Danio rerio: one gene and its partner. The protein of the gene in region 1 binds, or shares a complex with, the protein of each later gene. Links are inferred from orthologs where the notes say so. Each region holds a gene or a part of one and is shown on either strand. Other genes may lie near its edges.

The links.
Region 2: the proteins of disp1 (region 1) and shha are in contact, whole or in part, in a cryo-EM structure (PDB 7E2I), measured with the Homo sapiens proteins. The link is inferred for Danio rerio from reciprocal best matches to the Homo sapiens genes DISP1 and SHH. Residues at the interface, in NP_001356523.1 of Homo sapiens: Lys242, Thr244, Gly245, Tyr246, Lys247, Ala248, Glu260, His265, Arg299, Phe336, Gly337, Asp338, Leu339, Cys340, Gln341, Arg342, Thr343, Glu459, Arg899, His904, Asp906; in NP_000184.1 of Homo sapiens: Pro49, Asn50, Val51, Thr55, Leu56, Gly57, Ala58, Arg68, Glu71, Phe73, Lys74, Leu76, Thr77, Pro78, Tyr80, Pro82, Arg96, Leu97, Gln100, Lys186.

What each region holds. Positions count from the first base shown.
Region 1 is NC_133195.1:54,918,155-54,934,892, forward strand, and holds the start of disp1 (protein dispatched homolog 1), read right to left. Parts: upstream 7,627-16,738; 5' UTR 7,395-7,626; intron 1-7,394. Other genes in the region: MADF and BESS domain-containing protein, read right to left, coding at 14,853-15,325. UniProt on the Homo sapiens protein: Functions in hedgehog (Hh) signaling. Regulates the release and extracellular accumulation of cholesterol-modified hedgehog proteins and is hence required for effective production of the Hh signal. Synergizes with SCUBE2 to cause an increase in SHH secretion.
Region 2 is NC_133182.1:41,223,448-41,240,277, reverse strand, and holds shha (sonic hedgehog protein precursor), read right to left. Parts: upstream 8,250-16,830; 5' UTR 7,931-8,249; coding exon 7,631-7,930; exon of another isoform or gene 7,370-7,630; intron 4,319-7,369; coding exon 4,057-4,318; intron 2,636-4,056; coding exon 1,941-2,635; 3' UTR 935-1,940; downstream 1-934.

The DNA of each region.
Region 1 (16,738 bases):
GTTGTTTAAGGAGAAGGGGGAAATATATTTTTGTCCCGTCTATTGCTTCACCGTTATTTCGAGAATAAACCCAGCGTAAATATGCAGATGCCATTCCCAAAACATATCAGCGTATATGTGCCGAAAACGAAAGTTTCATACAAATTCTGAATGGATTATAGCCTGGAAAGTGCAAAGCACGCTCCTCTTATTATCACTAAAAAGCGTCACTTAGTTCATAGAGATCTCACAAAGATCCGTTATAATTTATAAAGCTCTCTAAATTACACAATTAATCTTTTATTTACATGGCGTCTACACTCAAAAGATGATTCACGAGCACACAAAATGGCACTTAATAAAAACCAATCCGGCGCTTTCAGCAGTGAGTGAATTCTGTGAATCTAGAGAAATGACAGATCAATATCCGTCAACCTGATTTTTTTTCCCCCGCAGCCACAGTACGCCGGAAATCCGGCGTGGTGCCGGAACGCTATCACCCCTGCGGATGGATGGATGGACTGATGGACAGACAGACAGACAAACAAGATATATAGATAGACAAATGGATGGATGGATGGATGGATGGATAAACTGACGGATGAACTGACAAATGGATAGAGGGATGAAAGGACGGAAGAATGGATGGACAGATCAGATAGACGAATAGACAAATGGATGGATGGATATGTAGATGGATAGATTGATGGATAAATGGATGGATGGATGGATGGATGGATGGATATGTAGATGGATAGATGGACGGAGGGATAGACGGACGGACGGATGTATGGATGGACAATGGATGGATGGATTGATGGATGGATGGATGGATGGATGGATAAATGAATGGACGGATAGATAGATGGATAGATAGTCGGATGGATAGACAAATATATAGACGGATAGATAGATGGATATAAATATATATATATATATATATATATATATATATATATAGGCAGACGGATAGACGATGGACGGAGGGATAGATAGATGATGGATAGACAATGGACAGATGGACACATAGGCGGATGGATGGATGGACTGATGGACAGACAGACAGACAAACAAGATATATAGATAGACAAATGGATGGATGGATGGATGGATAAACTGACGGATGAACTGACAAATGGATAGAGGGATGAAAGGACGGAAGAATGGATGGACAGATCAGATAGACGAATAGACAAATGGATGGATGGATATGTAGATGGATAGATTGATGGATAAATGGATGGATGGATGGATATGTAGATGGATAGATGGACGGAGGGATAGACGGACGGACGGATGTATGGATGGACAATGGATGGATGGATTGATGGATGGATGGATGGATAAATGAATGGACGGATAGATAGATGGATAGATAGACGGACGGACGGACAGACAGACAGATAGACATGTCCAATGGTTTAAAAATAAAAAAAACATTTGTTTTAATTTTAAAATATATTTTATTTCAGCTAGTTGACGAGGAAATATTTCTTACATTTTAGATTTTTTTTTATTAAATATTTGATTGTATTTTATTTAATTATTTTTAAAAAATGCTTTAAAAAATTTGATATATTAAACTTTTTATTCATATCAAAACACAACTATACACACACGTAAAAATTGTGCATACTGTAAATGTACTTAATGCAACTAAAAATAACTAAAATTACAAATCAAAATAAAAAAACACTGAAACAAATTATAATGTACAAAAACTTAATACAAGGAAAGAAATATTTACTAGATAGATAGACAGACTGACAGACATACAGACATATGTCAATATAAAATGTTTTAAAAATATAAAACTTTTTTTTATATTTTTTAAAATATATTTTATTTCAGCTAGATGACAAGGAAATGTTTCTGACCTTATTTTAATTTTTTAGTAAATACAATAAATGAAATATTTGCTAAAAAGGCAAAAATATCGTAAGAATTTTCTTTATTTTTAAACCATTTTAATTTGATATGTCCGTCTGTCGTCCTGACAGTCTGTCTGTCTGTCTATCCATCTATCATTCTATCCATCCACCTACCTACTTCATTTGTTTATGAAGCGTTTTTGTGAAAAATTAAATGAAGTACAATAAATAAAGTATTTATTAATTGGATTTTATTTAATTATTTGATAAACTGCTTCATATAATTTCATGTATAAAACTTTTGAATTCATATACCTAAAATTACAAAACAAAATAAAAAACAAACACTTTGCAATAAATATAATATGTCTAAAAATAAATTACAATGAAATTAAATATTTACAAGATAGACGGACAGACGGACAGACAGACAGACAGATAGACAGATAGACATAATACATATCTTTTTTTCTTCAATTGTCAAAGGTTATGTCATTAAAATGCAATCGCTTATAGGACATTCTACCAGAAAGGTACAATTTCCCTTATAAAAATGTGACAGGCCTAACCTTTAACCTCACTGTCCATCTTCTCCATCAAATGATGTCACTTCATAGCCTGAATGTATTGTATGCATTTTATGTTAAATTTAACACAAATGTGACAGGACTGACCAAAACAAGGGGACAAAATAGTATTTATTTGTAGAATTTATTCAAAATGTCATGTTTTTAATTACTTTATGTGAATGATAACAACTTAAAATTCTATTTCTGAAGTATTTTTCTTCTAAATAACAGTTTTAGCACAACAAAACTACGGTTCACTAAAAGTTAAATTGGGCTGAGGACAATGACAGGGTTTGTACATTTAAAGTGTTTTAAATAAAGAACAAAAATCTGAGAACCAAATGAATGACATATCCCTTTACGGAACAACTCACAGAAATCAACCATCAGTCCATTTTATGCAGAGTTCAGACTGCATGATTTTCAGAGTAGTCGTGTCAGAGATGTTTTCACACTGCTTGACTATCTGGGCTAGCGTTTCGTCGCTGCTTTGTTTACACTGCAAGACGATCGGCGACAGGGACTTTCACATTGCATGACTTTACTATAGGAAGAATCACCGACAACTTCGTCCAAACTACATCTCACAGCCAAAAACACATCGTATATCTTTTGTTATTAACTACATAATGAGAAAGAATCCTTTAATGGGGTAGAACATGTACATGTTTGCTCACCTGTGTTTAAAGGGAATGAGCCATTTCTCCTCAACGTTGATAATACACTAATTTCTTTCTGTATGAAACGTCAAACAGACACAGTTGCTCCTGTGTCCTGTCAAACCTCCACTAGTTTTTCCTCCATTTCGTGGGTCCAAATAAACCGAAAATGAGCGCTTTTAACTTCTCCCCCAGCCTCCCGCTGACCTGCAGCAGGTATACACACACACACACACAAGTGAATGCCGCTCTCTCATTGGCTGTAGGCGATCGCTGATGTTATTTTCAGTCAAAACTCAATTCACACGGCATGATTTGAATCGCCGACAGCTCCAGATATTCAGCACGGCAAATATCTGGCAGGCATCGGCGACTCATCGGCGATTCTCTCAGATCGCGTCTTTGATCGTTCATACTGTGTGATTGTCACTCACGTGCACGAGCAGAGATTTGCCTGTGATTTCAGGCATTTGTCTGCGATTTGTCAAAACCTGTCGGCGAGACAAAATCGGGGCTAAAATCACACAGTCTGAACCAGGCATTAGTTATTGTTGGGGATGAAATTCACTGTATTTGTGTTTATTTCAGGTACAGATAATGTAGGTTTCTGGCAGAATGTCCTGAATACAGTTTTTATACCTCACTGTATGTCTCCTACTTTTCATTTGGGGTGAAATCTGACCTGCACATGTCTTTGAGATGTTTCCTGATGCTCTCTGTCAATATAAACGTTACAGGGTTCAACGCTAAGGATTTTTTATACTGGCCCAATCGGGACAGTGGTTCAGATTTTTACTTGCCCTGCCAATATTTTCTTTGGCCTAACCAAAAAAAAAGTTAATAGCTATTTCTCAGCCACAAATTTGTGAAAAATGTTTGTGAATCTAGAATTTAAATATTACAAAAATGTTAATTAATGTATAATGAGCAAAATTCAAAGTGTTATGCAAACAAAAGTAGCAGTGTGGAAAATGTGTTTGGAAATTGAAATTTTATTGCAAAACAGAAGTGGCTGACCTGCCAAACTGATGGCAAACTGTACAAAACATCACTTCTTGTTTTTTAGTCGTGGCAAAGAGCATAGAACAGAGGTGGGCAAACTGCGGCCCGCTGAACACTTTCATCGGGCCCGCGAGGGAGTTTTTAAAATGCTGCTTCTGAGAAGGTTTGGTTTAGAATAAGTAAATTAATGATGCAATTACAAGTGAACGCCATGTGATGGCAGTATTGCATGCGGTACAGTAAGTGCAACCAGTAGAATTACAACACACTCTCGGATATTAAAATGCACTCGACAGTTAATGACCGAACACGCTTTATGCGTTAAGAGGCGCCTCTTTTGAGTGGTTTACTAACGGCCGCGGGGGTTATGTTTTGCGCGCTGCTTATGCGTCCTGCACGCCTCGTGTTTTAACCAGTCTATGGTTTTAACTGCCTGCAGCATCTCGCGTTTTTGCCGTAACAGACTTTAGACTGACACCCTTGCGAAGAGAGGGGACCAGGCTCGTTGTTCACATTAACACTCATAATAACATGACTTGGTATAACAAAGACTAAGATTCTTCTTCCGTTTTATTTCATAGTTTTATAATGATTGATATGAGCACATTAATACAAGCTCAAATGAGATTAATGTGAATTTGACTCAATCAAATTATATAATTATTGCTGGTTAAATGTGTTAATTTTAGTCATAGAATATATTTTTTCCATGCAAATATATACACTTAAAAAAGTCCTTTTATCAAAGATTTGTGGTTTTATCAAGTTGTATGATGATTGATCTGTATATTCTAAAAGCAGTGTAAAATAGATTATTGTAAATTTGACTGAATAGTAAACTTGAAGAATTATTTTTAACGTGTTAATATGATATTTTTTCTATTAGACAATATTTGCTAGTCTCCACTGTACATATTATTACATTATTATTATTATTATTATTATTATATTTCATAAGGGATTATTTTATTGTTTTATGAAGATTGATAAGTAAATATAAATAGCAGTGCAAATTAATTTGACTTAATAATATTTAAAAAACCTGTTTTGTGTTAATGTGACGTGTTTCTGTCCGATATTACATTTTTATGCATACTGCCACTATAAATAAGTTATTTTTTAAGAATTTGACATGTGGCCCTTCACTTGGTTCGCAAAACTTGATGTGGCCCTCGGGTCTAAAAAGTTTGCCCACCACTGGCATATAATCCATACCTGTCAACCCTCCCGTTTTTCCCGGGATTCTCCTGTATTTTACCGTTCTATCCCGTTATCATCCCTTAAAGGTATTTTCCCGTATTTCTCCCGTATTTTCAGACTTTCTCTGAACAGTCAAGCTTCCCTATACACAACCCATACCGCCGAACCACCAGGGGTCGCCCCTTGCTCTAAAACTAGAGTCTTCTGTGCTTTCGCTTTATTGCTTGCTTTCTTATTTAATGTAATAAAAAATCTTATTAAATGCCAGATTCATTCGTTGCTCTTTAATCAGAATGTTTAAGTTATAAAGTGGAGAAACGGCTAATGAGATTGATAGCTTGATTCTGTTTCATTATAATAGCTATTAATTTTAATAAGCTGAACTGTTAATGTATTTGCTGCTAATGTATATATTTATTTTTATGTTTTTAATAATAATTTAAAACACATAACTGACCATTTAACTGTTTATTAACAACGAAACAGCTCCAAAGGAACAAATTTAGTAATTTGGGGATTTTTTTAAGGGGGAGGGGGGGGTGTTGGGGGAATCCCTTATTATGGTGGGCATATCCCTTATTTTCACATCCCAATGTTGACAGGTATGATAGAATCACCAAGAGGCAACACTCTAATGCAATTTGGGAAACAGCCAATAGATGGTGCTGTGGCCATTTTGGAATGAAAACTCCAATAGAACAACAGCATATTACAAGTCTGTAAAATAAACTATTAAAAGTGCTGATGATTGTGATGGTAAATGTTGTATTATCTTTCAGGTTGTGTCTCAGCTTTAATGCACTTGTCAAATAACAAAATAAAAAACAAAGCAGCTGCTTGCCATCGCGACAGCAATACGATCCAATGGACGGCCGATTGCTTTCACTCCAAAATGGTGGAATCCGAGGCTGTTGCTGGGCGCTGCTGTTGCAATGGAACGTTCTATTGAGTGTCGCCTCTTGGTCATTCTAAGCAATTTGGTCGCGGTGTACCCTCGCAATGTCTACTTCCAAGAAGTTCAAAACAAGTGTTTTCTTTTAGCTTCATCATTTGATGTTGCCGTCTCCTCACTGTACTGGTTGTTATGTAAAAAAAAAATAACATGCTCAAAACGTCCAATCAGATAAGAGGAACCAAAACCCAATATCCGCTTGTTAAGTGTGACGTCACGCGAAGCGGCTTCCGGGTCCAAGCGCTCTATTCAACTGAATGGGGAGACTCATGAAATGGTAATAATAAACGTTTACAAAGTGATTTAATGGTTTCGAAAATCACGATCGCAGTATATGTCCATGCCTAATATCCGATGGCCAGAAAGTGATTCATTTTTTTATAAATTGTTAAATTTTTGGTATTTGTGATGCAGCAAGCCCAGAGATTGTTGTTTACACTATGACTTTATATAAAATTAACTTTAATGTGCGATAGGAATAAAACGTGATTATAAACGAATGATTTCTCCACTCAAATGAATGGCGGCTCGGAAACAGTATTACATACGTCACAAACACGTCACCACTTAACAAGCGGATAGTGCTAACCACATCACAGAGAAGGTAGCATTCGAAGGCTTAAAAATCCAAACTGTTTCTCGATTCTAAGACTGTATTTACACGCAATTGACAAATAGTCACAGGCAAATTAAACTTTAGTGACAAGGCAGCCCCAATCGGGCCAGTAATGACCCTGTCTACTGTCCCGAGCGTCTCACATACTGGCCCCGGGCCATCCTTATCGTTGAGCCCTGCATTACGCCAATATTAATAATGAAGCTGAATGTTGAGACCATAAGTTGAAACACATAGCTATACTATAACATGAGGGGTGTTTGTGGACCGCAACAGTTTCATGGGAAAAGTAAACACACACACACACACACACACACACACACACACACACACACACACACACACACATAGAGAGACAGAGATAGTCCTGCATAACAATACTGACTGCATCTCTAACGTTACTCAACAATACAAGCATCTGAAACACACACACAACACCAATACACATCCAGCTTTATCCCGACAACACACAACCTCACAAACCCACACCAAAAACCCGCAAAGTTGAGCTCTGAACACTTTAAAACAGGAGATTTTTCCACTTACTTAAATCTGAAGACACACACAGTGAGAGACAGAGAGAAGAAGCGCGGCGGAGCAGCACTGATTTACGTTACACACGTCATAACGGACAAACGCGCGACATAACGGACAAACACACAAACAAACATGAGTGCGTCTTACCGGAGAACCAGCACGAGCGTGTCCGTGATCGCTGATAATACGCAGTACGGGACCGGTTGTTTGGTCGGGAAGGTGGGAAGGAACTACAGGAAGTGAGGGGCAGATCCCTATTCCCGACAACATACACGCTGGACCTGCGCAGATCAGCCGGACAAGCGTTCCAAATCACAGTCCACCGTACTGCACACTACACCCTAGAAGTATGACATGCGTACTTTTTTTTTTTAAAGGGGAACTATTATGTAAAATGAAGTTTTATATGAGGTTGTGTGTCAGCAGTGTGTGAATATAACCAGCCTCTAATAGTAAAAATGTATTCTTAGAATATATGTGTTATGATCACACTTGATTGTCTGCAGAAACACTTTGATTGACATTCTCCCTTTGTAGGTGTCATCAGAGGTGGAAAGGCCCGCTCATTAGTGACGATCTGTCCCACATTAGCATAAACAGCCTTGAGAGAGAAGCAAAGCATAAAAGCAGCATCATATGTTTGCAGATATTTCAGAAACATGCTCAGTGAACATTCTTGTTTATCTGAGAAACAATGCTGAAGTCAGATATTCTGCTTTGAACATGTGCGTTACGTGTGACAACATCTGTCTTTGTTTTGGTCATTTAACCCACCCATTTTCAGTTTAGCCATTAATATTTCAGCATCTCAGGTTACCTTGGTGGAAAACAGCGTATTTCCTTCATTCAGTCTGGAAGGATTACAAAGCGTCTGTGACTGAAAATGAGACCTCCGGTGGACAGCAGCAGACTCTGGTCCCGTTTACACTAGTGCGTTTTAGTTTAAAAACGGCGTTTTAGATCAAAAACGATCCACGTCCACACAAGCGTTTCTGAACATATCTCCGTCCACACTGCGCCACCAAAAACGTATATCACGTGACCATTCGCGCACTCTGGGCATGCGCAATGAACAATGAACGCGATGGCAAAGAAAGCAAGAGAGGTATTTTTGTGGACAGACGACGAGGTCGAGTTGATACTAAACATAACAAATGAATAACTGCACAATGGCGCCTAAAACAGACAATAGTGCAAACAACGCTCCCATCTGTGTCCGTGTTGTTGTTTACAGTGAAGGCTGGTCTGCTGTCTTCTGGTAGCGTTAAAGCCATGTGTTATAGTCATGTGATAGGGGCTTGACGAATAAGGGAAGGATACGCAATGACACAAAAGCACCAATCAGGTAGCGAATGTCGGCAGCCGTTTTCAGATGTCTGTTTTCCCCATCCACACTGAGACGGAGCAGCAGCGTTTCAGAATGAAAACAGCCTCTTCAGCGTTTCCAAAACACTCTGTTTTTGATGCTCGAAAACTCCAGCGTAGTGTGAACGGATGGCGTAACCGTAGCAAGACTTATGCGTTTTCAAACTAAAACGCATTAGTGTAAACGGGGCCTCTGAAATGAGACGCAGATTCAGAGTTCCACCTGATTCCACATTATTAATTAGCAAGTAATATAAATACTACGAATGTAAACATTAGGTGAGCAGGTTACATTGTAACCCCGTATCCTGACAACACCCTACATGATGCAGTGATGAGCAATTGGGCTGTTTGCACCGGACGAAACATGACAGAAATGTAAATACAGCCATTCAGAAGCACAGAATAGTGCACTCACTGCACCCCAGCCAAATGGTAAAGTTTATAATCTAATGAACACATATTAAACCTCTTTAACATGATCAAATGTAGATGCTGAATAGGCCCGGATAGGCTAATAGGGAAAACCGGGAGAATTCCCGGTTGGCCGGTCCGTTTTTTTGCACTCCGGTCCGCTGCTTGCACTCTCAGCAGTTTTTTCATGTATTTGTTTATTTGACCATAGCCTGACTCTTTTTATTCATTATTTTGCCGCAGCTCCGCTCTTTTTATTTATTTTCTCGCAGCCCCGTGATCAAAATGCAGCATTATTAACCTGCGGGCTGCACCACATTCCACCCCAAACAGCGGCACCGTAGTGAATATTTATTAATATTAATGAATATTACACCTGCTCAGTGAAAATTAGAGGATTCACTACATTAATAAATCGGACATAACTTGATCAGAAATCTAAAAAGGGGAGAAAAAAAAAGAGTAGGGTACAAAAAGGGTAGACATCAATAGCAGCAGATAACAGTGTGCAGCTTAACAGCGTCATCGTAGTCTAGCGATTAGCACATTATGTTTTGAAGCCACCGACACGAGTTCGAACCTCACAAGAGTGTAATATCTTTTTTTTTTCATTTTTAGAGTTAAGACATAATATACTGTTTGGGTTCCTTATGTAGGGGTACATTTGTGTGTGTGTGTGTGACGACCATTACAAAGGACTGGAAATCTATAATGAATTAATGTTCTCATATTTTTGAAAAACATTTGAAGTTCTAAAGCAGCTGTGTCCGTGAAAATGACATGTTAGTGTCGGACGCAGGACTGTGTTTGGGCCTCCCTGATCTAAACAGTCTCTGGGTCAATGAGTGTAAAGATTTTGAACATCTTGGACACTTTAAATGCTTCCAAACAGTTTGCTGCAATTATAGAGCGCTCATGTCTTGAAGTAGTTTACTATGATGTGATTTACCTTCTATGTGTGATTTGATTGGACGGGAATCACAGGACTGATTTTTCTAATCCACATAGACAAGAGAAAATAAAGTAGTGACTGCAGGTTGAAGGACAGTAATGGAGTAAAAGTGCCGATACTGCACTAGAAATGAACTCAAGGCAAAGTAAAAGCACACATTCTTAAAACTACTTGGTAAATTACAATTTCTGAGAAAAACTACTCAATTACAGTAATTTGAGTATTTGTAATTAGTTACTTTACACCACTGCCAACACGTCACCAATTAACAAGCCGATTAGCATTTAACACAGAATAAAGCACATGAGGTGTACCTGAGCTGATCGTTGTCAGTTTTCTGTTGTTCAGATGTGACAAATAAAAGTTTCTAAAATATAAACTTCAGGTGTTGGTTAGGACAGCCTTTAGGCTTGACAGTCAGGCACACTGCTGTTGATGTCGTCAATCTAACAACCTGCGCTTGCGTTTGTTTTGATCCAGGGGTCTGGGGTCCGTTCTTCCTACCTCGCTTAAATGATCTAAGATGATTTGGCAGATCCCGGATCTTTTAATCTTGATAACTGATCTCTCGCTAATTTGGTTCTTCAAACAAGTTCGCGAATCAGATTAGAATGTCTGGATAAACTGATCTGAGATCGCTGCGTGTGTTGTGAAGGACAGATCTATCGATCCTCGAAATCATGATCAGCAATGCAGCGATTGGCTGACAGCACAGTAGCGTAATGACATCATCTGATTAATATTCAATTATCCATGTGAGCTAAATTACATCAAATTAGCAGTCGACGGTTTGTTAAATATGATACGCAATAACTTTACACATATGTTGTGAACTGCAGGCTTTACACTTTCATGTGTCAAGAGTATTTATCATGTATTTCAATGCATATCAATGTATTTAGTTCTACATTTAAAGAAGATTTTCTTTATTACAGTAGCCGTTTTTTAATCGCTGTATGGAATAACTGGATGTTTACAAAAGCATTTTGATATTGGTAAAGGCGTCTGCAGCTTTTGTGAAGCATCAAATCACCAGCATATTTACTGTCAAAACATGTTTATGACTGCATAAATGTATTATTGCTTTTTTTTAAAAAGTCGCATATTCTGCATTTCTATTATCATACACAAATTGTACTAAAGCGATCTAAAAAGTTAATATCAATAAATTTTCTCTTTGTACTTTCAATTCGAGGGTGCAGATTGCATAAGTTTTGTTAATATAACTTTATTTATTTTATTAATAATAACTTTATATATATATAGTTAATTTTTTTTTAACTATTTTCCCAAGTGTATATAACTACTACTGTAAGAAAATATCATAATTCGGTACTTTCTGTATTATCTTTGCTTGAACTGAGCCGATCTAATCCTGTTTATATGAATTGAACCTGCTTCCGATCAGGTTTGAGCTAGCAGAACTGTTGCTATGACAACAACTCTCAGATCAGCTTTGAAGAACGAAACGATCCTGTATCATGTCAAATCGTCAATATCCAAATCCAGCTAACTGAGTTATCCACGTACGAAGAACAGACCCCTGTTCTTCGTACGTGGATTACTTAGCTGGATTTGGTTATTGACGATTTGACACAATCCAGGATCGTTTCGTTCTTCAAAACTGATCTGAGAATTGTTGTCGTAGCAACAATTCTGGTAAATCAAACTTGGTCGGGAGCAGGTTCAATTCATATAAACAGGATTAGATTGGATCAGTTCAATCAAAGAAAAAAAAAAAATAAAATATATATATATATATATATATATATATATATATATATATATATATTAATAAAACTTGCAATTTGCACCCCCCAAATGAAAATACAAAGACTGCCACCTGCTGGTGCAAAGAGAAAACTTATTGATATGAACTTTTTAGATCGCTTTAGTACAATTTGTGTATGATAATAGACATGCACAATACGTAACTTTTTAAAAGCAATAATACATTTATGCAGTCATAAACATGTTTTGACAGTTAATATGACGCTGATTTGATGCTTTACAAAAGTTGCAGACATCTTTATCAAAATGCTTTTGTAAACATCCAGTTATTCTTTACACCGATTAAAAAACCGGCAACTATAATACTACTATAATAAGTAAAAATCCGCTCTAACTGTAAAACTAAATAAACTGCTCTTGACACATGACAGGGCGAAGCATGCAGCCCACAACAAGGTGTAAAGTTATTGCGTATCATATTTAACAAACTGTTTACTGCTAATTTGACGTAATTTTGCTCACATGGATAATTGAATATTAATCAGATGATGTCATTATGCTACTGTGCCATAAGCCAATCGTTGCATGGTGCTCTAGTTTTACAACCTGCGCTGGGTGTGTGGTGTCTGTACTACTGTACTGTGAGCTAACACTGACCTATTAGCAGAGATACAGAGGAGGAATATTATAGTTCCCATTCGTGTTCATATTTAAATAAATATTTATATATTACACGACGCTATAATTGAGACAATAATTATATTATTGCCCCCCCCTCAGAAAAGATCGATACTTTAACTTAAGGATCGATCTTTTTGATACATTCCCAGTATCGAAAATATCGATACTTCAGGATCGATCTGCCCATCCCTAACAGCAATACCTACTTCAACCACTGAGTGTCAAACTTACCAACTGCACCTTTATCTTGCACAGATTAATAGCTGACATTTAGGCTAACAATGTGCGCTAGTAAAATTAATACTGGAAGTTCAGATTTCATGCAGATTTAAAAAAACGTTATGCTCTCAAGTTCATGTGTGATGATACACAAGAATCATATTATCATATTATCCACCTTTATAAAAATCATTTATTTACAGACTGAAGGATGACAGAGTGCATATACATGTCTGTTTAATCATTGATCTCTGATGAAACAAACATCTACCAGCATCGGTACAATGTTGCGAATGTTTTTTTTTTTTAAATGCAGTGGATAGAATTTCAATATCAATAAAAGATAGAAAAATATTAAAGAAACTATAGAAGTAGGGCTGGGATGATAAATCAATGTATTATGATACGTGGGTCGATTTTTGGACTGCATTGCCATTCTCTGTTGAATCAGTTCTGAGCTTAGTTTATAACAGCAGATGATGCTCTAGGCTTGTTTTTAACAGCAGACGGCGCTCTAGGCTAGTTTTTAACAGCAGACGGCACTGTACGCTAATTTTTAAACAGCCAACAACATTGTAGGCTAGTTTTTAACAGCAGACAGTGTGATAGTGTGCTAGGCTGGCTACGATGAAGTGGAGCACCATCCATTGTTAAAACTAGCTGCTTTCAAAAAACTAGCAGATGGCGCTTTAGGATATTTTTTAAACAGCAGACGACGCTCTAGGCTAGTTTTTAGAAAGCAGATAGCGCTTTTGGCTAGTTTTTAGACAGCAGATGGCGCTCTAGGATATTTTGTAAAACAGCAGATGGCGCTCTAGGCTAGTTTTATACAGCAGGTGGTGCTCTAGGCTAGTTTTAAACAGCAGATGGTGCTCTAGGCTAGTTTTAAACAGCAGGTGGTGCTCTAGGCTAGTTTTAAACAGCAGATGGCGCTCTAGGCTAGTTTTTAAACAGGAGATGGTGCTCTAGGCTAGTTTTTAGACAACAGATGGTGCTCTAGGCTAGTTTTCACACAGCAGACGGCGCTCTAGATTATTTTTCAAACAGCAGATGGCGCTCTAGGCTAGTTTTTAAAAACCAAATGGCACTCTAGGCTAGTTTTAAAACAGCAGATGGGGCTCTAGGCTAGTTTTAAACAGCAGATAGTGCTTTAGGCTAATTTTTAAACACCAGATGACAATCGAGGCTAGTTTACCACCTAGATACAACAGAGTGGGGCACCATCTGGTGTTAAAACTAAGCTAGAGTGCCATCTGTTGTTTAAAAACTAGCTGATGGTACTCTAGGCTAGTCTTTAAACAGCAGATGGCGCTCTAAGCTAGTTTTTTCATGTTGAAACTAGCCTAGATTATTATCTGCTGTCTAAACTCTAGCCTAAAGCGCCATCCATCTGCTGTCCATAAGCTAGCTGACGGCACTCTAGGCTAGTTTTTAGAAAGCAGGCGGTGCTCTAGGCTAATCTTTAGACAACAGATGTTGCTCTAGGCTAGTTTTTAGACAGCAGATGGCGCTCTAGGCTAGTTTTTAAACAGCTGACGGCATTCTAGGCTAGTTTTTCGAGAGCAGATAGCACTCTAGGCTAGCTTTTGGACAGCAGACGGCGATGTAAGCTAGTTTTTAGACAACAGACGGCGCTCTAGGCTAGTTCTTAAATAGCTGACAGCCCCCTAGGCTAGTTTTTGGACAGCAGATGGCGCTCTAAGCTAGTTTTTAGACAGCAGACGGTGCTCTAGGCTACTTTTAAAACAGCAGATGGGGCTCTAGGCTTGTTTACAAACAGCAGATAGAGTTTATTCAACAGGATTAATGTAAACAGCTCACTACGAACACTTGCAACTCGCTTATTTTTTATAGTAAGTAATATTATTATTTTTTATTATTATTTTAATATTACTTATTTTTTATTTATTTTAATGATGACTATTTTGCGTTTAAAAGATACGTGTAAGGATTGTCAGAGTGAGACAGGTTTGTAAAGCACACAGCGCCATCTGCTGGTAAAAACTAATCTCAAAATTAATTCAAGAGAGAACAGCAATGCATTCAGAAAAAGTAATTATTGATTCATAATGCATGGATTTATTATCCCGGCCCCATATAGAAGCTCACTTAAACTCTGCCTCATACAGCAGCTGGTGTATTTTTAATTTGACCGCGCTCTTCTTGGCGTACGGCAGTCGTCTCAGATACGGCAGTAAACTAAACAAGAACATCTCGTCCTCCAAGTCCTCATTGGCCTCCATGTGCCACTTTCGCTTGCGTCCCGATCCTTGCGAGCCTGACGCAGAGTAATGCGACGCCCCATCCAGCATTCCATGATCACCTTCAAAGTCCTGCACCACGAATGCTGAGTTCCCGTCCGCCGTCCTCTCCTCGTCTTTGTCCTCGTCGTCTCTGTCTTCTTCGGGCTCGTCCGCCGCAAGAGATCTGGACTGGATGAAGGGTGTGAGAAAAGACATCTGCCAGCTGTACTTCCAGCTGCGGTGAGACGTTCCTGATGCTCGCCTACGCTGCTCTGCACGCTTGTCTTTGATGAACATGTCCCGTAAACTCTTCCATCGCCTGCGGCAGTCCTCCTCTGGTAAAAACAGCAAAACACAAAGAAAATCTGAAAAATGATGCTTCATAATCAATGCATGGTTCACTTATAAGTTTGATGAAATAAAAAAAAGCTGTCATCTATAAACAAATAAATAAAAATCACCCTTTAGTGGTTCTAAAATTCTCTGTTCAACACAAAACTAGGCCTGTCACGATAAGGATTTTTTGTTGTGTGATATATTGTCAGGAATTTTAGCAATAAGCGATATTATTGTCATTTTATGCCACTGATTATATAATGATTATATAATAGCATCATTCATTAATTTTCTTTTCGGCTTAGTCCCTTTATTAATCTAGGGTCGCCACAGCGGAATGAACCGCCAACTTATAACAGCATAATAATAATGCATATAGCAATAAACAATTTAAAAAACATATCATTCTCAAAGTTATTTAGATTATATTGATGTTACAAAGGTTAATGTCCTATACACTAACATACAAAGTCTTGTCGTCTATCCAAGTTTTAGGAACAGCAAATAATAACTGGACTTCTAGTTGCTCATTTGGTATCAGAATTGTCTTATATGAAAGGCAAAGGCCTCTACATGACGCTAATTTGACCACAATAAAATATGATCATGCCTTGATTTTAAATGATTTCATTAGGACAGTAAGGTCTGACTCTGTTTAGACTAAAGTCTTCAAACTCTGAAATGACTCAAATCACTGATTAATAAAGTCATCTTGAATGGCAAAGAAAGCGTTCCTGCAGGACTGCCAGAGTTCATCAAGAGTCTTTGTGTTCATCTTCAATGCCTCCTCCTCCATCTTACCCCAGACATGCTCAATAATGTTCATGTCTAGTGACTGGGCTGGCCAATCCTGGAGCAGCTTGACCTTCTCTGCTTTCAGGAGCTTGAAGTATGAGCAGGAGCGCTATCCTGCTGGAGAATTGTCCCTCTCCTGTGGTTTGTAATGTAATGGGCAGCACAAATGTCTTGATATCTCAGACTGTTGATGTTGATCATCCACTCTGCAGATCTCTCGCACACCCCCATACTGAATGAACCCCAAACCATGATGTCTCCTTCACCAAACTTGACTGATTTCTGTGAGAATCTTCATCCATGCTGGTTCCAGTAGGTCTTCTGCATTATTTGTGCTGATTGAGATGCAGGTTTTGTCAGGTAGTGTATACTATTAAATATCTTATTCGGTAAGTTTTCCAATTATAAACTTTGACAGCAGTAAGATAGCACATAAATGTCACTGTAAAATTGCTTTAAAGCGCCTTGGTTGCATAAAAAGGAGGCGATTGATAAAAGTTGTTCTACTGAATAGAAAAACACACTAAATTCTAGGATACATGGGAAATTTGCATATTGCACTTTGTCATAATTAGGGTTGGGTACCGAAACCCGGTGCCATTATAGCACCGGTACCT
Region 2 (16,830 bases), on another chromosome or scaffold:
ACATGATTCTTGTGGCGATGATTAAAAGACGTCGGCGTACAGGTCAGAATTTGTTAAATCTGAAGGGATCCTACATCTGCGGCTACTGGGCATGCGCACATCAATATAGCCTGATTGTGTGACACTAAAACAATAATTTCTATTTTATTTTAATGGCTGTGATGGCAGGTTTAGGGTTGAGTAGGTGTAGGCGTTATTACACCCAATTTAATTGATATTTTATTAAGATACAAAACTAATAGAAGCAGCGGTATTCCTTCTAACTACAACCCCGCGTCAAGAGCTCTCCAACAGTGGGGCTTTTTAATCTGGCCGAGAGATTTTCAGATGTTATTTGTGAAGGAAGGATTGTCCTCTTCATATTTAACATGGGAGCACAACTTTTCGCAAGCATACAAAATCCAGATCAAAGACTTTTTCGCGTCTTACCGATAGCTCTCTTCAAGAGGAAGATTTGACTTTATTTCTCATTTACACACGTTTGTTTGAAAAGAGCTCTTGTTTCTCCCACTCTAGCTCACCCGATGTCCGTGAAAAAAAGACTGGAAAACTGTTGCAAAAATATAATTAATTACCTGAACAGAACTTGTGTTATTAATTGTCTTTTGACGCTTCTGTAATATAGCACATCAATGAACAAGAAGCTTGGTTAATAAAAACTGAACTTCAACTCTGAAAACTGAACTGACACAGTTTTACTTGACTAGAACTGCTATTAAGCTGCTTTGACACACGTACTCTACATTGTAAATTGCTATAATAGAAATAAAGATGAATTGATTTGTTAATATTTAAATAAACAGCCACTGAAAGTCGACTTTTAAACAGCAGTAATGACAATGAAGTGTGTATGAGCGTAATGTGACAGTGAATCGATAGGCCAAGATGTTTAATGTCTGCGTTGTCAAAGAGAGAAACAAAACATACAAAGGAGCAGTTTGAATATTTTCTTTATCTCATTCATTCATAATAAACATATAAATAATAAATTCTATACATTTCCTGACACCTTGCCTTAATGAAAGGCAGGTTAACTGGTATGGCCACTCATCATATGCTATCCAAACTGTGCATCAGCGGCATATTTTATTTCTATAAAACTATTTACCTATTACAAAATATGAAAAGAAAAATACATTTTAGTAAACGTACAGTAGTTACTCATTAATCTGCTTAACGAAACCCTTTGCTCTTTTACTGTGGGACTATTATCTGTACTCAATGGCCAGAATGTGCATTTCGTATTTTCTTAAGGAAACAATGAAACCAGAGGAGAGTGAGCAGGGGGCGCATGTGCCTGTCCCACTCCGACATCCAAAGCAATAACAAAATAATAGATATTTCTAAAAGAGAAACAGCACAAGACTGCAAAGACTCTGCACCTATTTAAATTAAAATATATTCTCGTATCTTACACTATTTCAAAAAACGAAAAGTGATTAGGTAACGGTCGGTCAAAATCTAATGTACAATTCTGTGTATAAAAATATAATTTCTGGAGCCCCACGGCGTTTGCTTACCCCTAAAATATAACAGTCATTTGCACATATGCACAGAATGTCACAACCTGTCATGAAGGTTTCTGTCTGACATTATCTCTCTCTCTCTCTCTTTCTCTCTCTCTCTCTCGCGCTCTCTTTGTCCCGTTTTCATGAGATACAAAAATAGATTCTGCACCGCTGGATGGTCACACTGCATTCGACTCCGTGTGTGTGTGTGGCACCAGCCTGAGTTCACGCGAGAATAAATTATGCAAAGAAAACTTTTAAGGCTCCATTTATTCTTTGAAAATGACATTTTTTTAAAGTCATTGTAATAAATATCCCAACTCCGCTCGGAGCCTTAGTCTCTCTCTCACTCTCGCTCTCTCTCTTGTACTAATATTGTCTTATATCCTACATTAGTGTGATTTCTCTTGCTTTATTTCCACACGAGGGTTTTCAGCTTGAGTTTACTGACATCCCCAAAGGATGAAGCATGTTGCTGTCCAAAAGCCACGTTCCCATTTGATACAGGAGCCTGGAGTACCAGTGGACCCCCTCCTGTTGTAAAGTCGCATTGGACCGACTGCTGGAGTTTTGGGGGAACAGGAATGATGACACGTAATAATACAGCCTGGCGGGCGCGAAGGCCAAATGCGCAAGCCCCTGGTCCTCTATTACGGCGTAACAGGACGCCAGTATTCTGTCGACCACAATGGTCCCATGTGCAGTCACTGGTGCGAACGAGCCCCGCTGCTCCTCCGTGTATATCCGCTGCACGATGACAGATTTAAGCTGGCCGCTATCATCAACAACCATCACCTTTTGTCCGGCTCTGACACTGCTGGCATACGCGGCGGTCATGGTGTGGAGATCTTCCGTTGAGTTGTCGAGGACAAAAAGGAGGTGAGCGGCGGTGAGGGTGATCTTTTCAACGGGTTCTTGCGTTTCTATGACGTAAAACACACGTCGCGTCGTGGAGTCTCGGTCTGTGAACATGATGAAGTCGCTGAACACCAGGTTTCCCGCGCTGTCTGCCGCCAGCACCTTGTCTCCGGGGTTCAGGTCCTTCACGGCCTTCTGTCCTCCGTCCTGGAGCGAGACCAGAGCCGAACCTGGGAAACAGCCCCCAGATTTCGCAGCAACCGAATTTTCTGAAGACATAAATGAATAGCAATGAGTGATTGAAATTGGGGGATTTTTTATTAGATTAATTAATCATTTAAGCCGAAATTTAAACTAGAGAAACGCGCACATAAGGAATTAAAGACTGAATAAACTAAAGAAAACGTGGCAACGGGAATTAGGCTGTAAAGCTTCTCTAAAAAACTTCAATGCCTTTGTGTGAGATGAAGGAGGAAAGAGCCTGGACTGCTCTAATTAAAAACCAATAAAGGCCGGACATTGTCATTCTAATGCAGCTTGTGTACAGAGCACTCTTGGAAAAGGACACTTCTGCCTTTCCCTTGCGCCTCTTTCATATTTGCTCAGGTGCAGAAACTTCTATGTGACAATTCACACTTATAGAATGAGAAAAACCCCAAGCAGGCTCAAATAGTATTTGCTCAGCCCCAGACACTTTTTTTTTCTAAGGCTCTAATGGTGTAGATTTGAATGTAAATTAGAAATGCTAGGGGTAGTCAATCAATGCCCTCTTCTTCTTTCCTTTCATTTTCCTCAAACCATCATGCTCTCCGTTGTCAAGCTTAATGACAATAATTCGGGCCTTGTGGGATCTCTTCACATTCCGATCTCTTGGGTCGGTAAACAGAGCTATAGAATGGACTTCTCGTCTAATCCTCTCTTAAGATTCTAGGGCATGAAATAAAGATGGTGACAATTGAGAAACAGATTTGGCGAACGGGTTGGAGCTGGTTCTCGTCGAAGCCGGTAATGTATTTGTAAATGTGTTTAGAATTTAAATGATAAGATCTGGCGAAAGCTTATGAGGGATTGTCAATGCGTTCCAGCTAATTTAGCTTCCGTCAATAATAATACGTTTATTAGACAAAAAATCCAGACGAGAATTACACCGTAATAGCGCACTAAATGTCACATGCTCCAATAATAATAAACACAAATTGTTTTACTTTCGAATTTTCGTGTGTAAAACCCTAGATTTTGGCGCATCTCTAGTGTCTGTGCAATGCGCATTGAGCTGCAGAGCAGAGAGTGATCTTGTGATAAGCGCTTCCTTCAAAGAGACAGAGAGGGGCGATGTAAGATCAGTTATTATATGGCCTGGCAAGTATTTCTAAGTGACTCGTTTTAACAGAATGATCTTTCAAAAGACTTTCTTAAGGTGTAGAAATTTAAAAGCAGGTCCTAAGATAGAAATATAACCTTTATATTTTTGTAAGATCTGTGTATCGCCTATTTACAATAATAAATATATGCATTAGAGATTTCTTACAATAACATATATTTCATGATTTAGTAGACTTCAGTAAAAAAAATAAATAAATAAATACAAATATATAAAAGCATTTTCTAATTTAAAATCTCCTGTTTTAACATGAGAGGGAGTGTGAAGCATTGTGCCTTCTTTTTTTTTTTGTCATTCCAGAGGTCTTACCTGCTTTGACAGAGCAATGAATGTGGGCTTTGGACTCGTAATAGACCCAGTCAAATCCAGCCTCCACAGCTAGGCGAGACAGTGTCCCGTATTTGCTCTTGTCTCGGTCAGAGGTGGTAATATCAACAGCTCTTCCCTCGTAGTGGAGTGATTCTTCAAAATGGTGACCGTCCTCATCCCAGCCCTCTGTCACACGCAGCTTAACCCCTGGCCAGTGGTTCATTACAGAGATGGCCAGCGAGTTCAGCTTGTCTTTGCATCTCTAATAGAAAGACAAAAAGAATGGGGCAAAAGGAAATTAGCCGTTGTTTAACGTTTCTATTAATTCATCCTAAATCTCCAAACAATTCCCAAATTATATTGCTTACTGATTATCTGTTTACATCCAGACAAGTTTAGTTAGTTTAGTTTAAAGGGTGTCATAAACTAGCTGATCTTATTATCATTTTCAGCCATGTCAGTCAGTTCTGAGCAACCATCTCAGGAATCAGAGATTTAGATATCATTAATCCAGTATGTTTTCTAATAGATACATCCAGACAAATGTGACTATGAGAAACCCATATTTACACTTGAAATAATTCAGCCTTGCATGCAAGGATAATCTGCTCAAGGAGCTCAATGAAAAATTTATAAGTTACTGCATTCGCTTCACTGATCTAAAACGTATAGATCCAACTAGGGAAAGGTGTGACTGAATCAGGGGCCATGTCTTTGCTTTAAAAGGCCAGAATGCATACAATGAAATTGGGTAAAAAAAAAGTAATTCGGTTAGTGGTGTTCATTATTATAACCTTGAGATTTAGAGCAGTAGGTCTCACTGAGGTGCAGGTATGAACTGTGGAATATCAGGCCATGTTTGGGTGCTAACCTTTCCCGGGACCTTGCTTTGAGATGCTTGGCCTTCACCAGGACAACTCTTCCCAACACTTAACCAATATGTCAAATAAAACACCACAAAAGACTCTTTCACTGCGTCCAAGAGGAGAAGCAACTACTCATTATTCTTGCAGCACAGGTTTGCTCAAGGGACGTGATGTGATTGCTTAACTGACGGTCTTTCAGAGGTTATATAAAATCTATTCAAAATATGCTGGCAAATTGTGACACTAAGCCAAATTAATACCTGTAATAATTCACACACATACCCTCCTAGCTTTGACTCACTTGCTCGCTTTCTCTGACTCTCCCCCCTTATACACACACACACACACACACATCCTTAGCCTCTAACATCCACATAAATTTCTCCAGCAGACTATCGCCCCACTTCCTACTGATCTGCTTGACCCTCTAATTTTCATGTCAGCAGTGAAGACCATATGCACTTTACTAAGCTGAATTGCACTTTATTGTATATCAGAAAAATAATGTTTAGTCAATTATAAACTACACTGAATTATATCTGAATGTATGAAACTGTTCAGTTCACTTCATTGTGTTTCTAGAGTCTATTATACAAACGATATAGTCTAATGAAATAAATTGCAAAAACTTCACAGATGCATCCTCTGGATGATGCCTTTTTGGAATATCTGTACACTGAATGGAATGTAGCAAAATGGTACTTTAATCAAAAGTAAATAAAACAGACCCCCTAACTACTATATTTTAAATTGCTGCCTTTTAGCTCTACAACACTTGTGGCTGTTGATTGATAGAGTAAACCACAAGCAAGCGACATAAAGATGCAACCTAGCACATCCTAAGCAAAACTACCGGGGATTGATGAGCCGTGAAGCCTGAACTCTTTATTAATTCATTGAGTCGTGTGCCGCAAATCAAGCCAAATTCTGTTCAGCCACCATGAAGCGCAGCGGGAACCCCCTGTGCCGCCGCTTTGTGCTCCACACGAGGTTTGTTCAACAAGCCGCCTAGTCACAGTCAGCAACTAATCTCCCCCCAAAATGAACTGTTTTAGAGGAAACACTTATCAGCTACCTGTCAGAGCAAACAGCCTCCTGGATACCCTCGCAGTTGCGCCTAATTTCGCGAGCTTCACCGTTAAGTCCAATTCACCGCACAGCGTGTTCAACCAACAAACCCTGTCTTACACTCGGATGCGCTTCTCCAAAACATTTGTCAACAGGACACCTCGTTAACTCCCTTTGAAAGACTGAGACGTTCATTTGATGTTACTAGATTGCAAGGGTAGCTTATAGCAGCGTGTGTGCCCGCGGGTCACTGCACACTTATAATCACATTCACCTTAAGTAGAGCTTGATATACATCTGAGAAAACCACACCAGACACGGGTTTCATCTTTTTTAAGGACCGGTAAAAGGGAAACTTTATAATGCACCTGCGCGTGGCGTGTAAATTGACTTTGGCGGACATTATTCGCAATGCTTCAGCAAACCTTGCTATAACCGGTCATGACTTAGACTTTGAACCTAAAAGCTATTTAACAGAGGCACGTTCAAAACAGCCTAATAAAAATTATGCTCGGGATAATCACTTTGTAAATTACACGGAAACACTTCAATAGAGGCTAATTTGCACTGCAAACATATTTTCGATGCACTTAGTAAGCTGCATGTTATTCTTCCTTAGCATTGGCAAAGGGTCAGAAGTTCAAAAGATTCCTGCTAATGCAACGAGAGTGGAAAGCCATGTTGGGGACAGACAGCCTATTCCCGAAGCTGTCTGACTTTAGCAGAGGCCTAGCTTTCTTTAAAATAAATAAATGTAAAAAGTTGGATGTAAATGCTAATATACAAATCTGAGCAACAAAATAAACGAATCCAATAAACCATATTTAAGCAACACAAATCTTTAGCATTACATCCAAAAGTGAATATAACGCAGGCTACCTAAGAGCAGAGAAAACAGCGCACCGCGGCTAAGTATTCGCGTTTACATTGTAACAAAAATAATAGCGCATTTTGCAGTTAAAATAATGTTGCATTAGCATTGACTACTCATGAAGTATACAAACTTATACTTGCTGTTGCTTAAATATATTAGTCAGATTAAATACAGTTAATGCAGCCTCGCATGTGCTGAAAAAAACTGTCGGCAGATGAACAAACACCTGCATAACATCCAAAGAACAGAGGCGATGATAGTCCATTGTGTCTGATTCTAATCTGTCATTAAGTGTAACCATCCTAGCCCATTAATAAGTAGAAACAAATCGGAGAGCATCCTTGGAGAAATGTCAATATGTTCATGCCCTGATAAGCAGCCGCTGCGAGCGAGCGAGCGGGTAGGCTGCGGTCTGTCTGACTAAGCGATATGAACATGTATGTTATATTTCAATCTATATTTAGCTGTCACGAGACTGTAATATTCTGACCACCACAGTCCCTTCAGATCAGGTGCGGCACTCATCCGTCGGGACATCCACGTTTTATAAAACAGATAACGCGCGCCTGACGCGTCTCAACGCGCGGACAAATGCATACATATGACCAGAAGAAGCGCATAAATATTTCACGCTGCCTTCCACAATGAGGGTGAGCAAGGAGGCAAGCAGCCGGTCCTCTGTTGATGGCACAGGACTAATTCACAATCCTTGCACGAATTCAACTGTACTTTCCGACTTTCAGATTTCGAAAGGCGAAAGAATTACCTGTGTCATGAGCCTGTCCGCTCCCGTGTTCTCCTCATCCTTAAAGATAATGTCGGGATTATAATTTGGAGTAAGTTCTTTAAATCTCTCCGAATTGCGCGTTATCTTGCCCTCGTATCTGCCGCTGGCCCCTAAGGTCTTCTCCGCGACATTAGGTATGAACTGCTTGTAGGCGAGAGGTGTCAGCTTCTTCGGATGTCTTCTTCTGCCGTAGCCTCTGCCAGGACCGCAGGCCAGTCCGGACACCACCAAGGACAGAGTGAGAAGAGACACCAGCAGCACTCTCGTCAAAAGCCGCATTTTGCCGCACGCTGAATCTCGCTGCGGTGTTCTCGAGCGGTCTGTCTAGCAGGGTTTCTCGTTGTCGAGGCGCGGATCTCCGGCGATGTCCTTGCCGTCTCCTCGGTTCACGCGTGTCCCTCAGCAGCGCCAAGCCCCGACCGTGACAGGTGCGGAAACGTGCGACTGATAACGCATCGGAGGTTTGCGGCGGGGATGCGAAAGGTAAGACTGACCTCGAAATCACAACGTTACTTCAAGCCACAGCCACTTAATGCGAGAAGCCTCTTTACTCCTATGTATTATAGCTGCGATCTGAGGTAGGGAGGGACCTGATTGGCTCGACGGGACGAACACTTCTGATGTTATCCCACAAAACAGACGCGCAAAAAACCTTTAAAGAAGGTGGGTTTCAGGGGAGGGACGCGGTGAGATGTGAACGCATCAGTTTCTCCCACTGCTGTCTGTGTGAGGCTGCGACGTGCATGTGTGCTCACTTTCTTACATCCGTGTGTGACCCGCTAATGAACCATTATTTCTCAAGTCATTTGCGTTGCTGCACGTAAGGTTGAATCAATTATACAACTTTCGAAACTTCATTTATCACAGCAAGTGCGGAATGTGCGCGTTCACCATCACCCGAATTAATCACAGAATAACAGCGTTTCCAAATATGACAACTTTTTAATCGCTTCAGTCACATTCCTGTCAGATTGATCACTTGTTGTCCCATCAGCCTCTAACCTGAACAACTCGGTTACAGAAGCCAGACGAATTAGTTTTTTGTGTTTTAAAAACACTCAGATCTTACATCAAATTTATTGTGCTTTCTGCAGTAAATCAGCACCAACTTTTGTTGTCATTTTGGACATTTTAAAGTCAAGGGTACAATTTACAGGATTTAGTTTCTTGTAAATGTTGTACAGATTTCAAAACGTAAAAACCAGGATTGTTTTGATGTATCTGGTGTTCTTTATTATAAAGCTGCCAGTCCCAAAAAAGGGGTTTTGCCATTTTGGTTCCTTTCAGAATCTTTTAGTGAAAAGTTTTTTAAAAGTACAATTTTTTCATAGTGTGAGGAATATTTTCACACTCTAAAGAAAGTTTTTCCCTCTTTAAAGAATCAAAAGCTTTAGTAGATGTCGAAGGTTCTTCGTGGAACCATTGAGAGGACCTTTATAATTAAGAGTGCGGTGTACAACTGATTATTTCTCTATCTTTATCAGGTGCTTTTCCATGGTGTACCAGAGCGAGAGAGCAGGAGACAGAGATTAAGCTGGCTCTTCTGCCCAACAGCTTATTTGAGATATTGGAAAAGGCTCTTCCTGTGCACACAAATGCTAAGCTGTCTGTTTGGGAGAAAGATCAGCCTGCAAAAACCCTGTCACCCCTTAAAGTCCACTTCAGTGACAGATTAAGCCATGGTAACCACTGTGTTCCCTGGCCCATAGCAGCGGGTAAGGTATGTGTTTCATTGTCTTATTTTCTCTTGTTTTCACACATTTTCTAGACTGCTCTATCAAAGATGGTGGCTGCTTGTCTTGTGAAATACATTAAGAAGATCAGGGCCCCTGCTGAAGGTTTTGTTCAATTGAGCATGACAGATGATTTGTTGTCTTATTTGTTCTAGTCTTGAGGTGTCCAATTTTTTTTTGGACCACGGAAATTTTATAAATGCCATTAAATGATGACCTGTTTTTGACCCATTTAGCTTAATTGTAAATTGAGTCTTAGTCAATTAAGAAAATTACAGCAGGATATCATTAAATCAAGCAGTTTCTCTCCTCTAAAATATCTCCAGATCTAGCAAACGGTCAAACAGATCTTACTTTGTGTCCAAATATTATGCCCACCTGGCCACTGATGTCCAAGAGGAGTGAATTGTGCAGACTGGCTTAGTACTTTAGTTCAGGTCACAATTTCTGCTATTAACTGGCTCATTACTAAGCCCACACGGAATCTGTGCCCACAGATTTCTGCAGATTTCCACACATTTTTAACCCATCATCGAGTCTATTTATTTACTTGTGTAAATGTGTGTAATTTATATTTATTCAGTTTTTAAATTAATTTCATTAATATTATTAAATATTATGAAAGTGTTCATATGATTTATTTACAATACAGTTTGTAAAGTAACATTTTAGTAGATATATTATATGAGAGACTTGCTTTGTTTATCAAATAAGTGCATCTTATTGGATTTGTATTGTAAACATTAAATAAAAGTTAAAAAGGTATATATATATATATATATATATATATATATATATATATATATATATATATATATATATATATATATATATATATATATATATTTATATATATATTTTCAGGTTTTAGCTATCATACTCCTGAAATCATTTCACATAAATCTGCAGATCTTTTTATAAAATTCTGCTCAGAAATAGCAAAAAATGTCAGCAGGTTCTGTCTGGTTCTACTGATTACCTGCCTATTATTAAGATGCTAACTGCTTATTAGTGGTTGTAAAAAATGATCTTATTCTGCATCACTTATCCTACCCTAAACCCAACTTTTACTAGCTATTAATAAACAGCTAATTTGTAGTTTATAAAGCTTGTAATGATAGTTAATGGTTTGTTAACACTATGAATTGGGACCTAATCTAAAGTGTCACCGACTGGCTTTTCATAGGTTTCCACAGTACGGCAAACACTATATGAACTGACTAACTTATTAGTTAATTAGTTTATTAGTTTAAACTAGCTTCCCATATGTCATTATTAACCCCTCTCCCCCTTAATTTATTCTGTTCATTGTTGAAGGTTTAACTTGACAGTTTAAGTGATTTTACTGACTTTTAGTAGTTTGAAATAATATAATAATGAAATGCTAATATATTAATATATGTTCAAATATAGTATGATGAGCAATATATACAGACGTAGTTCTGCTACACTAAAAAAATAGTAAATAGTCGACAACTTAAAATTTTAAGGCAACCACCTTCAGGTCATTTTTGAGTTGACTCAACTTCAAATGAGTCAAGTGCAGTACTTGGGTTGAAAGTTGAGGCAACTCAAAAAAGCTCTGGAGCAAGTTGCCTTACAATTTTTAATTAAGATAACATAAAACTAAACAGAAGCACATATAAATAGAAACAATGTACCCATAAATCACAAATGAACACAAATGAACATTTTGTACAGTGAGAATACTACTTTTAAATCAATTTCTGCAACAGTTATTTTACCTTCAGAGTATTAGAAAGTTAATAAATCAGTGTGGCTGACTTAAAAAAAAATCAGCACAGACGCAGATGCTGTAGTGAAGTGTGATTTTCCTGCTTCTCCCATATAGCTGCATTTATAAGCAGTTATGAGATTACTAATCATGCTAAAACAATTCTATGGGAGCAGACATAACGATTACGTAGACGTCATTTTTCAGGTCATTCGATTACGCAACTGTATGTTTAGCATGAAAAAGCCCCACAAACAAACACAATGTGGTGTAATTCTGGACCTCATACAAGATCATGTGCCGCCCCAATTGACTAATCCTTTGAGAATGACCCTAAGCAGTCGGTGTACAGCAAAACGGTCTTAAGGACAAGCATTCTGTGGAGGAACACTTAGCCTCGATTTCGGGCAGCTCTTTGTGTTGTTGTGGACTGCAGGGAGTGGAACGTGGGGAATTTCACAATCACGTACCTGAGGTTCCAGCTCAGCTCCGTCTCGGAGTGTGTAAAGAGTTTTTTATTTGCCTCACTCAGCCGCTCCCTCTACTTAAACATAGTCTCAGTGCTCTCAAGGCCAAGGCAAGACAGCCAAGCCCCAGGTCAACCCAACACAGCGGGAGGGAGAGGAGAGTCTTAGAGATGCGCAAATACGTGCTGTTTCAATGTGAACTGAGATTTAAGGGGCAAAGGGGGCTAGTGAACACTAAGGGTAATTCATAAACCAAGCATTTTCATAATGACTACCTGCATTCCGTGATAAAAAAAAAACAAACAAAGCAGTTTACTGATATTATTAGTATTAAAGGGCACCTATTTCACAACATTTTTAAGATTTAAGATGAGACTTTTTTTAAGACATGTAGCTGTTTATGTTGCCTGTGCCTTTAATGCTAGTTCTCCCCACCCACCTTTCCCATGTTTCAATCTCCACCTCGGCTGTGTCAGTTAAACAGCAGAGTGACAGACATGAAGGAAGCAGATCTCACGTAACGTTTGTGAGAATTACTACAGTAAGAATTTATTCAATCATCCCAATGATTATTTGATGTATTTGTTGTGGCGCTGCGATGAGTCACACACAATGTCGTTACAAAGTTCAGTCACTCACGCACACACAGCAGCCACATATACACTGCATTCACATTTAAATTTGCACTGTGTTTGCAAGCAAATGTGACAGGATGCACATTAATATTCACTGCTGTGTGGATATCCGTTATGTTGATGTACAAAATAATCCTAATTTAACGTCCACAAACCGGGATTGAAGTGTCTTCTTTTATAATTGTACTGACATGAGGCTGTGCTGATAAAGACTGTAAAATCACTGTAATTCATTACAAACACGCACTGTTTTAAAAACATTTTAAACTTGTAAAACTCATTCTTGATCACTTTTGATGATCACAGAGAGCTGAACAGATCTTTTAATCCTGGTTGTTCTGCGCATGTCCTGTCTTGATATATATATATATATATATATATATATATATATATATATATATATATATATATATATATATATGTTACTACGGAGACATGTTATTACACGGCTGTCAATCAATTTGGTGGGTGGGGAAGCCTCACTCCTACAACATGTTGTGGTGGGCCTCAAAATAGGAGAGATTTGGATCCTATATTAACATCAGGAAATTAAAGAAAGAGACTTATTGTGTTTATATCATCTCAATATGACTATGGACACACTAGACCTACCTGTAAAAAATGCTTAATTTTATGGTTTATTTCTGGCAACTTCTTTAAAAAACCCTGTAAACTAACGGTTGTTACATTACAGAAATATAAAGTAAAATAAAGGATATTAAATTACAGAAATGTCCTTAAATGTAAATTTCTGTCATTCAAAATCCGTTATTTTATGGTAAATTACTGTAATTTAACGTCCATTATTTTACGTTTTATTTCTGGCACCCCAGCTTCTGGAAATAAACCGTAAAATTACGGATTTTTTTACAGTGTACACACAGTTCTGTCCAAACAACTTACAAAAGATGATTTTCATCATAGGTTCCCTTTAATTATTAACGATTAATACATAATGGGCAATTGAATTATTCAAAAATAATGCACACCTGTGCTGATGAGACATGTCAGTGTGTTTTATTTTCCAATTGTTCAACTTATACTATGGTTACCACACCTATAGACAATCTACAAATGTAGTATGCCAAGTCATTTGTCAGTTTTTTGGTCCAAAAAACCACTGCTACAGTATGTGTAAGAATATTTTCTTACGCATATCATCCAAATCCTTTTGTTTTGATTTTTGGTTTTGATTTGAATTATTAAAATTAAGTGGAACTGTAATGGAGTCAAGACCTGCCTTGAACAAATTAAACAGTGTGAAAATAAACGCACACCTTAAAAATTAGCCAATCAGAATTTAACAGCCCTTTATAATAATATAATGGATATTATAGGATGGTTTTGCATTTAATTGATTGTAGTAACTCCTGAAAAGGGGGATGTCAAAGGCCCTGTAAAATGGTGATGGACAGCAGAGGAAAATATAATTGCAGGCATATGTGAAAGTTGAGGATGCAAATAAGCGAGCACATGAGAGTAAACCATCTGCTTCAGCATGCTTTGTTCGATTGCCATTTGACCTGAGGACACAGATAGTATCTTTTTAATGAACTTAGGGTGCTTGTGGCCTGTGCCATATTACCTAGAGCAACAGTAATTCCTCTGGAAATTTAGTCAACGTTCTACACAGCTGACCACAGTAACCACCGAAAAGCGAAAGCGTCATTAAACACCCAATCACATGCTGCCATAAACACAAGCACCATCCCTCCATTGGAAGTGTTGCCTCCTACCTGAGTGTTCAGAAACATTCCACAAGAACAGTGCGATGTGATTTCAAAACATTCCCACACTCAGTAGTCTACTGGACAGCTTCCAGGACGTTGCTCACTGAACAACATTACAGCCAATATTTTTCATATTGATTGTAAAATTAATTGTTAACTACATGTGTCTGCACGCTTCAGCTTCTGAGGTGATAGATAGGAATTAGTGTTGAAATAAGTGTTGTAACGTCACCGAAGAGCAAAATGATCCAAAAGACTGCAGTTGAGGACGAGGGAGAGAGAATGCAGCAGTTCCTCATCACAGCTTTGGATAATGACCTCATTCCGGTCGCCAGAGTTTTGTGATCGAGGGCAGCACAACTGTACGGGAAGGAAGCAAACCTGAAATGAAGAGAGGAGGAAAAGATGTGAAAATAAAGCATAGGTTTGTTTAGTGGGCAAAAGGTGTGGACTGTGGAAAGATGCAAATGTCTCAGCACACATCTTTAGGGGTTTGAATCTGGAGTTTTATCTAGCAATTTATCAGCATCACTTTTGATCAGAATAACAATAAGTTCATTTGACCTCCTGAATTACATTACATACTGTATTGCATTATAGTACTATATACTGCAATTTTTTCAACCACCTAAATATAATTTACAGATGTGTTTATTTTTAAAAATATACATATGTTTATATAATAAGCAGGATAATGTTCTGTGGTGGCTCAGTGGTTAGCACTGTCATCTCACAGCAATAAGGTCGCTGGTTTGAGTCCCAGTTGGACCAGTTGGCATTTCTGTGTAGAGTTTGCATGTTCTCCTCATGTTTTTGTGTGGGTATATTCCTGGTGCTTTGTTTTCCCACAGTCCAAAAACATGAGGTATATGTGAATTGAATTAACTAAATTGGTAGTAATGTATGTGTGTCATGAGAGTGTTTGGGTGTTTTCCAGTACTGGGTTGGAAGGTGGAAGGGCATCTGTTGTGTAAGACATATGCTGGATAAGTTAGCAGTTCTTTCTGCTGTGGCGATCCCTTATTAATAAAGTGACTAAACCGAAGGAAAATAAATGAATAAAAAAGAAGGCACTTAATAACAATAATCAAGGCACTTAAAATACTATTTGTTTAAAACAGTTGAAATAATTTGACAACAGTAATGATTGCAGCGCAAAACTATTGCAAGGAAAATTTCTAGTTTACCGCAGTGAAAAAAATGTAGGAAGTAAATAAGGAAGTGAGCTGAATAACTTCAGTACACCTGCGGAACTAGTCACTTTAGTCTCTCACAGGACAACGCTGGTCTCTCCTAGGACATTACTGGTTTCACACAGTACATCACTAGTCTCTTGCAAACATCACTAGTCTCTCATGAGACATCATTTTCTCACAAGACATCACTAGTTTGCCACAAAATTTTACTACTCTCTCACAGGACATCACTTCTATTTCTACATCACTTCACTAGTCTCTCACAGGACTTTATTGGTCTTTCACAGTACATCATTAGTCTCTCACAGGAAATCACTACTAGTCTTTTACGGGACATTGCTTCTAATCTCGCACAGGACATCACTAGTCTCTTACTGGACATCACTACTAGTCTCTCATAGGAAATCCCTAGTCTCTCAAAAACATCCCTGGTCTCTCACAGGACATCACTAGTCTCTAAAAAAACATCAATAGTCTCTCATGGGACATCACTCATCTCTGATAGACATCACTAACAGGATAACACTAGTCTTTCATGGGACATCACTAGTCTCTTACATGACATCATTAGTCTCTCACAGACATCACTAGTCTCTCACAGGATTTCACTAGTTTCTCACAGGACATCACTAGTCTCACACAAGACATCACTAGTCTTACACAGGACAAAACTACTAGTCACTCAAAGGCATCACTAACCCGAAATCACTATTCTCTCACAGGACATCACTACCCAGACATCACCAGTCTCTCACAGGCCATAACTAGTCTCTCAAAAACATCACTATTCTCTCACAGACATTACTAACAGGACATCACCAGTCTCTTACAGGACATTACTGGTTTCTCATAGGATATCACTAGTCTCTCACGACACATAACTAGTCTTTCAAAAACATCACTAGTCCCTCACAGGACATCACTAATCTCTCACAGACATCACTCATCTCTCACAGGACATCACTAGTCTCTCAAGGGACATCACTAGTCTCTTATGGGACCTCACTAGTCTGTCACCGGACATCACTAATTTCTGACGGTACATCACCAATAGGACATCAGTACTAATCTCTTCCATGGGACATCACTAGTCTCTCACAAGACACCACTAGTCTTACACAGGACATCACTAGTCACTCACAGACATCACTAACAGGACACCACTAGTCTCTCATGGGACATCACTAGTGTCTCAAAAACATCACTAGTCTCTCACGGGATATCACTAGTCTTTCGTAGGATATCAGTATTCTCTCATAGGATTTTACTAGTCTCTTATAGGACATCACTAGTTTCCCATAGACAAGACTAAAAGGGAACCACTAGTCTCTCACGGGACATCACTAACAGGACATCACTAGTCTCTCATGGGACATCACTAACAGGACGTCACTAGTCTCTCACTAGACATAACTAATCTCTCACATGACATCACTAGTCTCTCACAGACAACACTAACAGAACACCACTAGTCTCTCATGGGACATAACTAATGTCTCACAGACAACACTGACAGGACATTACTAGTCTCTCACGGGACATCACTAACAGGACACCACTAGTCTCTCATGGGACATCACTAGTGTCTCAAAAACATCACTAGTCTCTCACGGGATATCACTAGTCTTTCGTAGGATATCAGTATTCTCTCATAGGATTTTACTAGTCTCTTATAGGACATCA